2 linked regions of the Anolis sagrei genome follow. The main gene of each other region encodes a partner of the protein of the gene in region 2 in a complex. Links are inferred from orthologs where the notes say so. Each region holds a gene or a part of one and is shown on either strand. Other genes may lie near its edges.

Evidence for each region.
Region 1: ZC3H13 (region 2) and RBM15B share a complex: the UniProt entries of both Homo sapiens proteins name them as parts of the WMM complex. The link is inferred for Anolis sagrei from reciprocal best matches to the Homo sapiens genes ZC3H13 and RBM15B.

What each region holds. Positions count from the first base shown.
Region 1 is NC_090022.1:71,045,133-71,052,597, forward strand, and holds the start of RBM15B (putative RNA-binding protein 15B), read right to left. Parts: upstream 3,015-7,465; 5' UTR 2,645-3,014; coding exon 1-2,644. Other genes in the region: MANF (mesencephalic astrocyte-derived neurotrophic factor), read right to left, coding at 5,884-6,068. UniProt on the Homo sapiens protein: RNA-binding protein that acts as a key regulator of N6-methyladenosine (m6A) methylation of RNAs, thereby regulating different processes, such as alternative splicing of mRNAs and X chromosome inactivation mediated by Xist RNA.
Region 2 is NC_090021.1:140,394,984-140,401,830, reverse strand, and holds the start of ZC3H13 (zinc finger CCCH domain-containing protein 13), read right to left. Parts: upstream 3,012-6,847; 5' UTR 2,792-3,011; intron 1-2,791. Other genes in the region: DNAJC18 (dnaJ homolog subfamily C member 18), read left to right, coding at 3,504-3,540. UniProt on the Homo sapiens protein: Associated component of the WMM complex, a complex that mediates N6-methyladenosine (m6A) methylation of RNAs, a modification that plays a role in the efficiency of mRNA splicing and RNA processing.

The DNA.
Region 1 (7,465 bases), on a different chromosome or scaffold from region 2:
GATTCCTGAGAAGCCGCCTTTGCAAGCTGGGCTCCACGGCAGGGAAGGTCCCTTCAGCACTTGCTCCTGGAGTAGCTTGGGTGGCCAGCAGCACAGCGTAGCCATTGGGGCTTCCTTGCTTGATGCGTCGAGTTACTTCATCGAGTTTGGGCTGATCAAGCCGAAGTCTCTGAGCAATCTTGAGCTGGGTCAGCTTTCCCCCAGACAAGTGGTCTTTCAGGAGCCCATTAATGACCCCCAAGTCCCCTTCAAGGATGTGCATAGATGTAGGGAAACAGCTATTCTTCAGGACAAGTAGCCCATGCCAGGCAAGCTGCAGAGTGTGGGCATAATCTGACAAGCTTTTTAGTTTCTTGGTTTCCAATTTGGACTCTTCGTGAGTCTTTGATTCAGACTCACCAGTTCGATGATTGCGTTCATTGTCCCTTTTCTTAGGCTGAGGATCAGACATTTCGCGATGAGGCTTCTCCTCTGCTGTGTGTCGGTTGTTCTGGAGGGAGTTATTCTGCTCTTTCTCTGTTGTGGCCTCAGTTGCGTGGTTCTCCTTCCGCACCCGATCTGGACTGCGGTCAACAGCTGTCCCTCCAGGCTTTGTCCTGCTTCGGTCCTCATAAGGCGAGTGAGTGGCTCTCCCACGTTCGCTGGAAAGGCTGCGCCGTTTGCGCCTTTCCTCCCAAGGCTTAAGCATGCTGCGGTCGCCATCATTGCCCCAACGTTCTCCGCTCCGGCTCCGTGCTGACCGGCTGTAGGCCTCCAAATTATTTCTACGCTCTGCATTTTTGACAGGACTAGCCCAATCTGCCTCCAGAAAGCTCCTTTCTCTGTCAGAGTAGAGAAGATGAGGAGGAGTCCTGTCCCTCACCCTTAAGTCTTGCTCTAGGCTTCTGTGTCTGCTATAGGCCTCAGGGAGCAACTCATAGTGCACTGGCAGCGGGGCGGGCGGGTACGGCTGAGGGTAGCGCGCCTCCTCGGCTTTGGCAAAGTCCACTCGCAGTCTCCGGTCAGGCCCGCCCAACGGGAAGCCCCTCATCTGCGCACAGGCCGCCTGGGCAGCGTCCAAACTTTCGTACTGAATGTAAGCAAAACTGTCCCCCTTCACGTAGTCAATCGTCCTAATGCTCCCAAAGCGGTCAAACTCCCTTGCCAAGGCAGCCAGGGAAGTACTCGGACCGAGGCCGCCCACCCAGAGCCTGGTGGTGGGGTTGGCTTTGCCGTAGCCGATCTTGATGGGGTTCCTGCCGACCACTCGGCCAGACATGGCCACCTTGGCCCGGTGTGCCATGTCCAGGTTCTGGAACTTGAGGAAAGCATAGGCGCCCCCTTGGCCCCGGGCTGGGCGCTTGATGACCACTTCCTCGATGATGCCATACTTCTCGAAGGCCCGCCTCAGCTCCGCCTCGGAAACACTGTGGTCCAGGTTACCGATGAAGAGGTTCCGAGTGGCCCTCTGGTCATCTTCTGGCATCAGCTCCTCCTCGGCTGCAGCCACAGCTGCTGCGGGGTATCCATAGGGCCGGCCCCGCTCGTCGTACAGGCCGTAGTAGTCCAGCACCCGCTCTCGCTCCCGTGACAGGCCTAGGGCCACGGCCTCTAGGGCAAAAGCGGCAGCAGCAGCGGCCTGTGCATGGCGCGGGGGGCGGGGCTCCCGGAGGAGGGGCCCGGCCACAGGAGAGAGCGAGCGCTGCTTGTAGGGGAAGACCCCCCCGTGGAGCGGGGGCAGGAAGGCCAGGGGCTCTGGAGAGGGGGTGGGCGGTGGGGTGCGGCTCCTCCTCCCGCCGCCCCGCAGGTATACAGGCTCCACCTTGAGGGGCCGGTCAAAAAGCAGGAGCTGGCGGGCGCGTGCGTGCCGCCGGGCATCCCTGGCATCGGACGGGTGCCGGAAGTTGACGTAGGCCACGCGCCCCAGTTCTGGGGTGTGGGAGAGCTTGACGCTGATGTCGCTGGCCCCGCCGCTGGCAAAGCGCTGGAACTGGCGGAAGAGGCCCTCCTCCAGGAGCTGGTCGGGCAGGGCGGGGCTCAGGCCGCTGACCAGCAGGGTCTTGTACTCGCTGCTGGCCCCCGGGGGCTCCACCGCCAGGCCCGCCAGGCCCGCCGCCGAGAGGCCCAGGCCCGGGGCCAGGAGCAGCGAGGGCGCCGCAACCGGGGGCGGAGCCGGGACACCCAGCAGCAGGGAGGGCGCCACCACCGGGGCCGCGGGCAGCGCTTTGGCCTTGGGCAGCAGCCGCGAGGAGGAGGCCAGCGAGGGCAGGGAGGCCGAGGAGGAAGGGGAGGGGTTGGCGGCTTGGCTGCTGCTGCTCCTGGCGGCGGAGGACGAGGACAAGGAGGAGGCGGCGGCGGCGGCGCGGTGGTTGGCCTCTCCGCCGGGCCCGGGCCGCTCCTCCCCGCGGTGGCTGCGCGAGCTGGAGCCGGAGCCGCCCGCCGAGGGCTTGTCCCGGCTGCTTCGCGACGAGGAGGACGAGGAGGAGGCGGCCGAGCTGCGATGCGGGCCGCGCCGGCTACTGCTGCTCCCTCCGCCGCCGCCGCCCCCCGCGCTGCCGCTCTCCCGCTCGCGAGGCCTCTTGGCCGAGGAGGAGGAGGAAGAGGAGGCCCCCCGCGTGGAGCCGGACCCGGCCGGGCTGGAATCCCGCTCGCTCGCCCGCTTCATGGCTCCGGGCCCGCGGCTCAAGAGGCGCCTCCGGCACCAGCTGCCATCTTGGACAAAAGGGAGCGAACGAAGGCGGCTCTGCCCAGTTGCCGCGCCGTACGCGCCTCTCGCGTCATCACCCCGCGCCGCCGATGACGAGAGAGGGAGGGAGCGAGCGAGGGGGCGAGGGGAAGGCGGCGGTGGGACGCAAGGGCTTCGGCCACGCCAAGTCCCTCCACGCCTCCCCCCTCCCCTCAGCAGACGGGTGCGGGAGGAGGACAAAAACCCTCTGCCTGCGCGCCCCTGGACTTTCAGGCCAGTCCCAGGTGGGCGGAGGCGCTTCTTTTCCCGCCTCAAAGCTCGCGGACAGGAAGTGGCAGACGGAGGGCGGAAGGGGTCAATTCGGAAGGGAAGGGAGGCGAGGCCCACACCCCAGCCCCGCGCGCCCCTCTCCGGCCTCGCGAGACTTCAGCGCGTCCTCCCGCTCCTTACGTTTGCGATTGGCTGAGGCTTCGGCGAGGATGCCCTCAGAGGCGCCGCAGTTGCCTCCAGAAAGAACGGCAATGGTTTGCGTCCCTTGACGGGTGCCTGGGCCAAAACGAGGAGGGCAAGGAGAGAAGGGACAGCGCGCCTGCCGCCGGCCCACGTTTCCAGCCTGCCGAGGTGCAGGTCGGAGGAAACGCCGCGTTTAGGCCGCATTACAGGCAGTCCCAAACATCCGAACTACCAACGACTCAGTTACGAACGGGATGAGACGACAGGAAGTGAGGGAAGTTCACCCCTGAAGAGAGATCATGGGGGAAAGTGTCTCAACTGACTCTCCCCCTCCAATCCTTGTTTCCACAAGCCAAAATTGACACAATCCTATTATTCCCGGGACAGAAAGTGAGGGAAAATCTTAACAAAACAAACACCACAGGTCTTAACCCTTCCATATGCTATCCAAAGTTTGTGTGTGTGTATGTGTGTGTATATACACACACACACCCTCCCTCTACCCCGGACTGACACAAAAGAACGTGGCTGTTCCTACTGACATACAAATTCGACTTAAGAACAAGCCTGAAGAACCTACGGTTTGTAACTTGGGGACTGCCTGTATTACTCAGCCAGTGTAGAGGCACACATCATTAGGTTTTTAGCCCTAAAGATTTTTAAAAAGACCAAATGACTACAGATCTGGAGGGCTTTGATACCTTTGTTGCATTGTGCAGGAGGTAGAATTTCAGCCAGTGTTGCTCCTCATATAAGCAGGTAGCACTGGCCAAAATGACCTATTCCATCACCAATGCCACAGGAGCGTTCCCAATTTTTCTCCAAATAATGTGTGTAATACTGAGGATAGCTTAGGCCATAATAAATGCAAGAAGAAATAGGGAGCTTGGGAGTGTCACAGTGTCAGCCGAGGTAATGCCCACTGGACAGAAAGGAGGTGGAACATGTTTTAGTCCCATATACAGGGATATTCCCCAATCAGATCCATGTTTAAAAATAGGGACACGTTTCTATTTGTGCAGTAGCTTAATAATCCTAGTCTCTCTTTTGCTAACTTTCACAGAACCTCCTTGATGATTCATAATTTTGACATTTCTGTTATGTTGTTAGAAGAGTCATAAAGCATTTGTTAAAGCAGTCCATACTCAACAGCAATCTTCTGCTTCTCTAAGCCACACTGGAAATGCACATAGAATTACTGCTTCATTTATTCAAAAATGTGCTCAGAACAGCTTTGACTTTGCAAAGGACAACCTGGCTTACAATTAACCCTAAGCTTCTGGATTTACACACATGCAAGATTCCCTTACTTTCCATATACTGGAACAGGTGTGGGCACATGCAAATGAAGCATGTTCCACACCAACTATTAAATAATGATACAGGCTCATATATCAAAGCACAACTGGGTCTTGTACTCAAGACTGATAATAGCAAGTAATGTCACTGTCAAGATGAAGTAACATAGGTTTGGGTTGCTGTGAGTTTTTCAAGCTGTACAGCTATTTTTCAGCAGCATTCTCTCCTAACATTTCACCTGCATCTGTGGCTGGCATCTTCAAAAGTTCTGAAGATGCCAGCCTGTGCAGATATGATTCCAGCCATGAAAGCCTTTGACAATGTAGGTTTCCAAAGAACAGGTAATTATGACAGACTTTTTGAGTGCCCAGTACTCACACACTCAAGGGTGTGGAAGCTGCAGTGGATATGACTATGATGCATTCTTGATATAAGGAGTGCTTAGTGTTAATTCTTATCTGAGAACATGCTTGGAGGAAAGCTCCCCATTCTTCTGTGGAGGAGCTTCATCTTCACTGGCAATGGTAAATCTAGAACTAAAGTGAGTAAGAACAAATAAACAGAAATGGTGCCAACTAGCTTGGCTGCTATCTTTATTTTTTTACTTTGGATAGTGCCAGTTAGCATTATCTAAGATTATGCTACTATCCAGGTCAAATGTAGGAACATTTATCTTCAAAACACATGGCCCAGGCCACCTGCCTGTGGAGCAGCATTGTGTAAATTTCAAACTTTTTGTACATATGATAAACCAATACCCTTACAAGTGCTATGTTTGCCTACTAATGTGTTAAGGTAAAACTAGGAATGTTGTCATGGACACACACATAAACATCACTACCAAACCGTCCCAAATACTTCGCCCTAATCCTGATATTTAGTGCAAAGTATTATAATCATATTGAATAGAACATGGTTGGTCTCTTATGCATCCTTGGTGTTCAACGTATAATAGTACAGAATGCTGCCCTGCTCTTCCCCCACCCCCAAATATTCAGAGATTATAACTTACACAAATTTCATGTCAGTTTTGCAGTACACATGAACAGGCAAGCACCAGTATTGAGTTGTTTCACAGACCATCACTAATACAGCAATTAAAAATGCTGGAAAGTTATCCAACCTGCTTGCATTAAATGTCAAACTAAATGTCAAACTAAATCTGCAGATGGACCTCATTTGCCACTGAACCTCTACTCACTTCTCTTAAATCAGATGACACTGGATTTCATAAAGTTTATTTTAAAAATCCCATAAGTCCATTTTTAACATAAATCAGACAAGAGAAATAATAACTTGAGACATAACAAGGCAGTTGAACCAACACTGAAAAAAATGCTCGCTCCGATTTGACAGTTGAAACCCAGTTAAATAAGTTACAAAAACAGCTGTCCAGGAAAAAAAAAGAAAGTTTAACATAGTTTGTGTGTGACTTGCTAATAATGTGCTAGAGGTCACTTTGATGGTCAGAGATCTGTCCGGGAACTGGCTGCTTTAGGTGCATATTTAGGCATCAGTTCATTGATTTTCCGAATGTAGTCTGATTTTTCTGCACAGCCTTTGCATGTTTCACCCCAATCATCCAAGATCTTCTTCAGTTCTTTAACTCGAAGCTTCTTCAGGTCCACAGTACTCAGATCAATTTGTTTATCTGATGAAAAATTAGGACATGTTACTGTATGAAGAGTTAGCAGAGGACTGCTTTCAGATTTCCAGGTCTCTATAAATTATTACTCAGAGGAAATACCACAAACCGTCATTTCCCCTAGACGTATAGGAAAATCATTTCCTCTAGATGTATAGGAGTTTATTGGTTTTATTGTTTTAATACAGTTGATTGTTATATATTTTAATTGTATTACTTTGAAATCTTGTTTATATTGGGCTTGGTCGCCATGTAAGCTGCCCCAAGTCCCTTCGGTGATTGAAGGCGGGACATTAGACTATAGTTACTATCATTATTATTATCTTTCTTTGTTCCACCCCTAAAAAAGGTAATGGAAAAACAAAGTTTGTTCTGGGGAACTCCCAATTTCAGAATATTTAAAAATGAAGATGTAGAAGCAGGAATTTTTTCTAAAACAATTTTATGTTGAAGAGAAAAGGCTTCATTTTTTTCCACACAGTACTACAATCTGCTTCAAAGATATTTATTCCATTTGTATTTTAGCAATTCAGTAATCAAGTACCCTTGAGCTAACCAGCCTGCTATGTAACATTTCTGAGAAAGGATTTTGCTTTCACTTGTTTTATGTTTCAGTTAGTAAGAATCAAACCCCACTATGTATTGTTACGACTTTGTTACACTTCTACATAGAGGTAAAATGGCATTAAGAATAGTTATTAATTTCTGGTAAAGATTCTGCATGTTGCCTTGAAGCTGTGATACCCCTGGAGGGCCAACAAGACAGGAGAGTCAAGCAACCTTCATCCAGCTGCTGCTGCTCCTGGTTGTGCTCTATCTATGGAATTGTAGGGGGAAATTGGCTACTTCTTAGCAGAGTCAGGCCCACTACTAGCCCTGACTCAGCAGACTTGTCATCTGGTTCTCTACTCCAACTGGAGTAGAGATGGCAAATAAAAGCAGGAATGCATTGACAGTAACTCAACTTCTAAAGGGGTTCAGCATAAAGAGGACCTTTTCTTTATGTTATCACACTCAGATACATCTGTTGGGAAAACCCAATAGGCCCTTCACAGTGGCTGCCCCCAGATTCTGCAATTCCTTTCCAAGAGACATCAGATTGTCACCTTCCCTCCTTTGTGTTGACAGACAAGTTAATTTTTTGTTTAGTCAGGCATTTGATGATTGACTAGGGCCCTTACCACCAAAATAATGTGCTTAAGTCCACATGCATGTTGTAGGATATCTTTTTAAAATCTACTTATAATTGTTTTATTGTTTAAATTTTATATCTTGCAGAATTTAAATCAGTGGTTCTCAACCTGTGGATCCCCAGATGTTTTGGTATTCAACTCCCAGAAATCCTAACAGTTGCTAAACTGGCTAGGATATCTGGGAGTTGTAGGCCAAAACACCTGAGGACC
Region 2 (6,847 bases):
GAGCAAAATTATTAAGAATATTGTGTATAAAATTAACTTCAGGCTATGCGCATAAGAAAAACATGAATTATAAATTTCTTCTTTAGATTTGGTTCCCATCTAAAAGATAGATACATCTATTCAAATACAGCTATTTCAAAATACGGGGGGGGGGGGGGGTTAAAAATCCAAAACATTCCCATTCCCAAGGATTTGGGATAAGGAATATTTAACTTGCATTTATTTGACCGATATGTACAGAACTTATTTGATAGATATGTTCCTAGGGTAAATATGAGGAAATTACTGTAGACTGTCAGTTAATCGGCACTTGTGGGGATTGGTAGATGCCAGATAAATGTGGTTTCTGATTGCTTCAGAGTTACTATTAAAAACAGGACCACCTAATACTATACAAACTCTGTATTGACTTGATATTGATAATGTAATACAGCAGCTAAAAGCAAATGAGGACAAAGTTAATGTAACATTTAATACATTATAAATACTGATTTTTCTATATTTTAATTTTTATTCAGAGTATTACGGTATTGTTTCATTTTTTAACGATTGCTTGGGAGTTCCTGTTGCTTGAATTTCAGTTAACCGAGTTTCTACTTAATGTAACACTTAACACATTATAAAAATTGATATTACTAAATTATTAAAATATATTTACATTTTTATTTAGAGTATTATAGTCTTTGTTTTCAAATTTTTGCCCAGTTGCTTAGGAGTTCCTGTTAACTGAGAGTCTACTGTTCAGGTATTCCAAATGGGGGTGGGTCTGTAAATCCCAAACACCCCTGGTCTCAAGTATTTTGGACAAGCGATCCTCAGCATGTATAGATCCCATTTCTTCGATTCTAAGGTGCACTCCCCCACCCCATCTCAAAAAAACAGGGTGTTTTAGGTCCCATCTACACTGCCATATAAAATCCAGATTATCTGCTTTGAACTGAATTATATGAGTCTGCATTGCCAGATTATCTAGGATTAACAGAAAACCTGAGATCAGATCCTGAGACATAGGACCTGTCTGGAAGGACCCTGGAATATAAATTTATATTTTATTGATATGTTTAATTTTTATTATATGTTATGTTCTTAATTGTATTTATGATATTGTAAGAATTAAATTTTACCCTGTTAACTGCCTTGAGTTGCCTATAGGCTGAGAAAAGTGGTATACAAATACAGTAAATAAATAAATATTTGCTTAGAGAATCTGAATTATATGAAAGTGTAGATCCAGGCTTAGGACCCTTCCAGACAGCCCTATATCCCAGAATATCAAGGCAAAAAAACCCATATTATCTGAGTGTGGGCTCAGATAACCCAGTTCAAAGCATATATTGTGGGATTTTCTGCCTTGATTTCCTGGGATATAGGGCTGTGTGGAAGGGCCCTTAGAATCGCATGTGGGTTTTTTTTCCTGTTTGTGGTACTAAAATGATCCACAATATCTGCTTTGAACTGGGTTATCTGAGGGCCCTTCCACACAACCCAGAATATCTGCTTTGAACTGGGTTATCTGAGGGCCCTTCCACACAATCATATAATCCAGAACATCTGCTTTGAATTGGGTTGTCTGAGGCCCCTTCCACACAACCATAAAACCTAGAATATCTGCTTTGAACTGGGTTATCTGAGGCCCCTTCCACACAACCCAGAATATCTGCTTTGAACTGGGTTATCTGAGGCCTCTTCTACACAACCATATAACCCAGAATATCTGCTTTGAACTGGGTTATCTGAGGGCCCTTCCACACAATCATATAACCCAGAACATCTGCTTTGAACTGGGTTGTCTGAGGCCCCTTCCACACAACCATATAACCCAGAATATCTGCTTTGAACTGGGTTATCTGAGGGCCCTTCCACACAACCATAAAACCCAGAATATCTGCTTTGAACTGGGTTATCTGAGGGCCCTTCCACACAATCATATAACCCAGAACATCTGCTTTGAACTGGGTTGTCTGAGGCCCCTTCCACACAACCATATAACCCAGAATATCTGCTTTGAACTGGGTTATCTGAGGGCCCTTCCACACAACCATAAAACCCAGAATATCTGCTTTGAACTGGGTTATCTGAGGACCCTTCCACACAATCATATAAACCAGAATATCAAGGCAGAAAATCCCACAATATCTGCTTTTGAACTGGGGGCCCTTCCACACAGCCATATAATGCAGAATATCAAGGCAGAAACTGGGCTATCTGAGTCCACGCAGCCATATATATATTCCAGTTCAATACAGATGTGGGATTTTATACAGTTGTGTGGAAGGGACCAATGTGTGCGTCTTAGAATCGAAGAAATGCGGCCTTCCTTGGATATGTACCCCACTTTAGAAGCGGTTCCTCGCAAGGAGGTGGGGGAATGACCTACGCTCCTGGGCTCTGGGAGATTCATGTATTTCAGTGGTTCTCAACCTTTGGGTCCCCAGATGTTTTGGCCTTCAACTCCCAGAAATCCTAACAGCTGGTTAAGTGGCTGGGATTTCTGGGAGTTGTAGGCCAAAACACCTGGGGACCCACAGGTTGAGAATCACTGATATATTTCTTCTCTTGGATTGTGTAGACCAGGCCTGCTCCAATTAGGCCCGGCAGGTGTTTGGGCCTCCAACTCCGAGAACTCCTCCTCATTGGGCAAGCTGGCAAGGGCTTCTGGGAGTTGGAGGGCTAATGGATGAATCCTAGTGTAGGATGCCTGGTCCTTCAGGCCCACAAGCACTGGTTCCCTCCCTCCTTCCTCCCTTCCCGCCCTCTTCCGCTGGGGGTTCCGCGGGCCAAAGGCTCTCACCTGTTCCCTCCGCAGCCGCCCCGCCCCTCCCCCCCGCCGCCGCCCCCGCCGCCGCCGCCCAGGGCGGAGAGGGGGGGAGAGGGCGAGCGGGGAGTCCGTCCTCTCGGGCCTAAGAGCCGCGCCGCACGGGGAGGAAAAGGAGGAGCGCCGCCCGCTCCGCCCGCAGCAGCCTCAGCAGCCGCGCAACGACGCCTCCCTCAGCACCGCCGCCGTTCTTCTTCTTCTGCGCCTCAGCTCTTTCCCCTCCTCCTCCTCCTCCCCCCGCCCTTGGCCGCGCGAGACAACCGAAATCCAGACACGAGCCCCACTTTGCACAGCAACCCCCCTCCCCTTTGAAGTGCGCCTGCGCGACCAACCGCTGCCTCACAGCGCCGGCGCGCGCCACTTCCGGCCCCGCTGTAGCAAAGGCGCCATAGGAGAGCGAGGCCCACAAAGCTTTTCAAAAATGGCGTATTTCCGGTTCCCCCCCTCCTTTCTACTTCCGGCGTTCGATTGACATTGGAGTGCGCCTCCCTGCACGGACTGAATTGGGGTCTTTTCCAACGCAGTGATTCTAGGCAATAGGACTGCTTCGCGGTCGGTTTTTCCCGCCCATTCTTGGTCTCCGGCGCGGAGGGTCCCGATTGCTCGGGGGACTCCAAGGCCCAGGGCGCCTTGCGCGTGGGAGTCACGTGGCCGCAGGTTTGGCCCCGCCCAGTTCCCCCGATGGATCATGGCCGTTCTGGGCCCGGGGCAGCGCTGGGCCGAAGGTAACGCTCCTTCGGGGGAGGGTCCCTGGAAGAAGGCGGAAGAGGGTGGGCTCTGGGCGCAGAACCACAGGCGGTTGGCCCTCTGCGGGGAGTGCCCGGGTTGTGTCTTCCTGCCTATTAGAAGGGGGTTGGCCCCTTCCCACTGTAAGATTCTATGCAGGGGTCTTATACTGTCATGTCTCCCTTCCAGCTTAGCCTCCTGCCATTTCCCATGGCATTTTGGTTCTACTTTTCCTTATTCACCGGTTTCCGGGGCCAGGAAGACAGTCCCATCTTGTCTCCTGCACTGGGCTAATAATATAAAACTAGCCGTCCCCTGCCACGCGTTGCGGGTTCTATGTGGGAGGTTTGGCCCAATTCTGTCGTTTGTGGGGTTCAGGATGCTCTTTGGTTGTAGGTGAACTATAAAACCCAGCAACTACAACTCCCAAATGTCAAGGTCTATTTTCCCCAAACTCCATCAGTATTTACATTTGGGCATATTGAGTAACCGTGCCAAGTTTGGTCCAGATCCATCATTGTTTGAGTCCCCAGTGCTCTCTGGATGTAGATGAACTACCACTCCAAAACTCAAGGTCAATGCCCATCAAATCCTTCGAGTATTTTCTGGTTCAAGTTTGGTTCAATAGTATCATTGGTGAAGTTCAGAATGCTCTTTGATTGTAGGTGAACTATAAATGAAATCAACTACAACTCCCAAATGACATAAGCAATTCCTTTTCCCAATCCCAGTAGTATTCAAATTTAGGTGTTTTGGGTATTTGTGCCAAATTTGGTCCAGTGATGAAAATACATCCTGCATATTGGATATTTACATTACAGTTCATAACAGTAGCAAAATTACAGTTATAAAGCAGCAACGAAAATAACATTGTGGTTGGGGGTCACCACAACATGAGAACATATATTAAGGGGTTGCGGCATTAGGAAGGTTGAGAAGCACTGTTCTATGCAGGGGTCTTATAGCTCTGGATGTTTACACAGGAAATGCCATGTGTCCCAGCTTAGCCTCCTGCCATTTCCCATGGCATTTTGCTTCTACTTTTCCTTATTCACCGGTTTCCAGGGCCAGGAACACAGTTCCATCTTGTCTCCTGCACTGTGCTAATAATATAATACTAGCAGTTCCTTGCCATGCGTTGCTATGGCCCACATGAGGGTTCTATATGGGAGGTTTGGCCCAATTCTATCATTGGTGGGGTTCAGAATGCTCTGTGATTGTAGGTGAACTATAAATCCCAGCAACTACAACTCCCAGATGTCAAGATTCTATTTTCCCAAAACACCAGTGTTCACATTTGGGCATATTGAGTATTCGTGAAGAGTTTGGTCCAGATCCATCATTGTTTGAGTCCACAGTGATCTCTGGAGGTAGGTGAACTACAACTCCAAAACCAAAGGACACTGCCCACCAAACCCAGTATTTTCGGTTGGTCACGGGAGAACCGTGTGCCAAGTTTGGTTCAATTCCATCGTTGGTGGGGTTCAGAATGCTCTTTGATTGTAGGTGAACTATAAATCCCAGCAACTACAACTCCCAAATGACAAAATCATTTTTTTCGAGTGAAGGACATATATTGGGTTGTTAGGTGTCTTGTGTCCAAATTTGGTGTCAATTCGTCCAGTGGTTTTTGAGTTCTGTTAATCCCACAAACGAACATTACATTTTAATTTATATAGATATTGTATATACATATAAAAAGTAAAGGTTTTCCCCTGACATTCAGTCCAGTCATGTCCAACTCTGGGGTGTGGTGCTCATCTTCATTTCTAAGCCAGAGAGCCGGCTTTGTCCATAGACACCTCCAAAGTCATGTGTCTAGCATGACTGCATGGAGCGCCATTACCTTCCCCCCAGAGTGGTACCTATTGATCTACTTATATTTGTATGTTTTTGAACTGCTGGGCTGGCAGAAGAATATAAATATAATTTTGATAATATTATAATGTAATACAATATAATATTGCTAATAATATTACAGTATAATGTTATAGTACAATATAGTAATATAGTAATCAGCAGTGCAAATGGTACCCCAAGTGTCCGAGGACTTTTGTTTTCCTTGCAGTACAATAATAGCTTTTCTTCTGGAACAGGCATCCTCAAACTGTGTCCCTCCAGCAGGTTGGGCCTCCAACTCTCAGAATTCCTGATCATTGAATAAGCTGGATAGAGCTGCTGGGAGCTGGAGGGCCGCAGTTGGAGATGGCCTGCTCTGGAGTTTCTCAAATTATAAGGGGTCTGTGTGTGGAATAAGGGCTGGACTTTAGAGCTGGACTTGGAGGGGAAGTACTAGGGCAAATGTGCCAAAAAGGGTGGTGAAAGAGTTGCAGGAAAAAGATTTAGAACAGAAGTCGTTTTCTGTTTCAAAGTACTATGGGCAAAAGTTTGAAAAGGAAGTTGAAGAAATGTTTATTATGGCTACAGAGGGCTGAAAGAAAGTAACTTAGGCCCATCTACACTGACCATTTAATGCAGTTTCTAACCAGTACTGAAGAAGATGGTTTCACTGGGCAGATGATTACAGAGGAACCGGATGGTGATGACTTAAACCACAGAGCACTGATGCACAATAAGGGCTTTCTTTCATGTGCTTTTGTGGGAGTTTGTTGTCTATCTGCCTCAGGGCCCTTCCACACAACCCTATTTCCCAGAATATAAAGGCAGAAAATCCCACATTATCTTCTTTGAACTGGACTATATGGCAGTGTGGACTCAGATAACCCAGCTCAAAGCAGATATTGTGCTATTTTTTGCCTTGATATTCTGGGGGCCCTTCCACACAGCCCTATATCCCACATCAAGGCAGAAAATCACACAATATATGCTTTCACCTGGGTTATCTGAGTCCACACTCAGATAATGTGGGAATTTCTGCCTTGATATTCTGGGATAAATGGCTGTGTGGAAGGGCCCTCAGTCTGAAGCTATCTTCATTAAATGGCCAGAGTAGATGGGGCCTAAATGAATGGCTCCTGGATGTTTATAATGGTTCCTTCTCTTCTGTTATCTCGCATCAGGGCTGGAGGTGAGAACAGCCAGTTTCACAGTATTCCTCTGCGTACCAGTTGCTGGGGGTCAGGTTCATAAGTATGGCACACAGCAGGTGAGATGTCTTTATCTTCCTCACCTGTAGCAGGCTTCTAAGAAGCATATGCTGGCAACTCTTTGAAACCAGTTTCTTCCCAACAAGAATTCCCAGTCTGCTGTAGCTGGCTTCTTATGTGTAGTTTAGTGTTCCTGAAGCGATTCTTTGTTTTAAGACATACATTTAGTGGACCCTAGTTTGGTGAAACCAATCTGCTT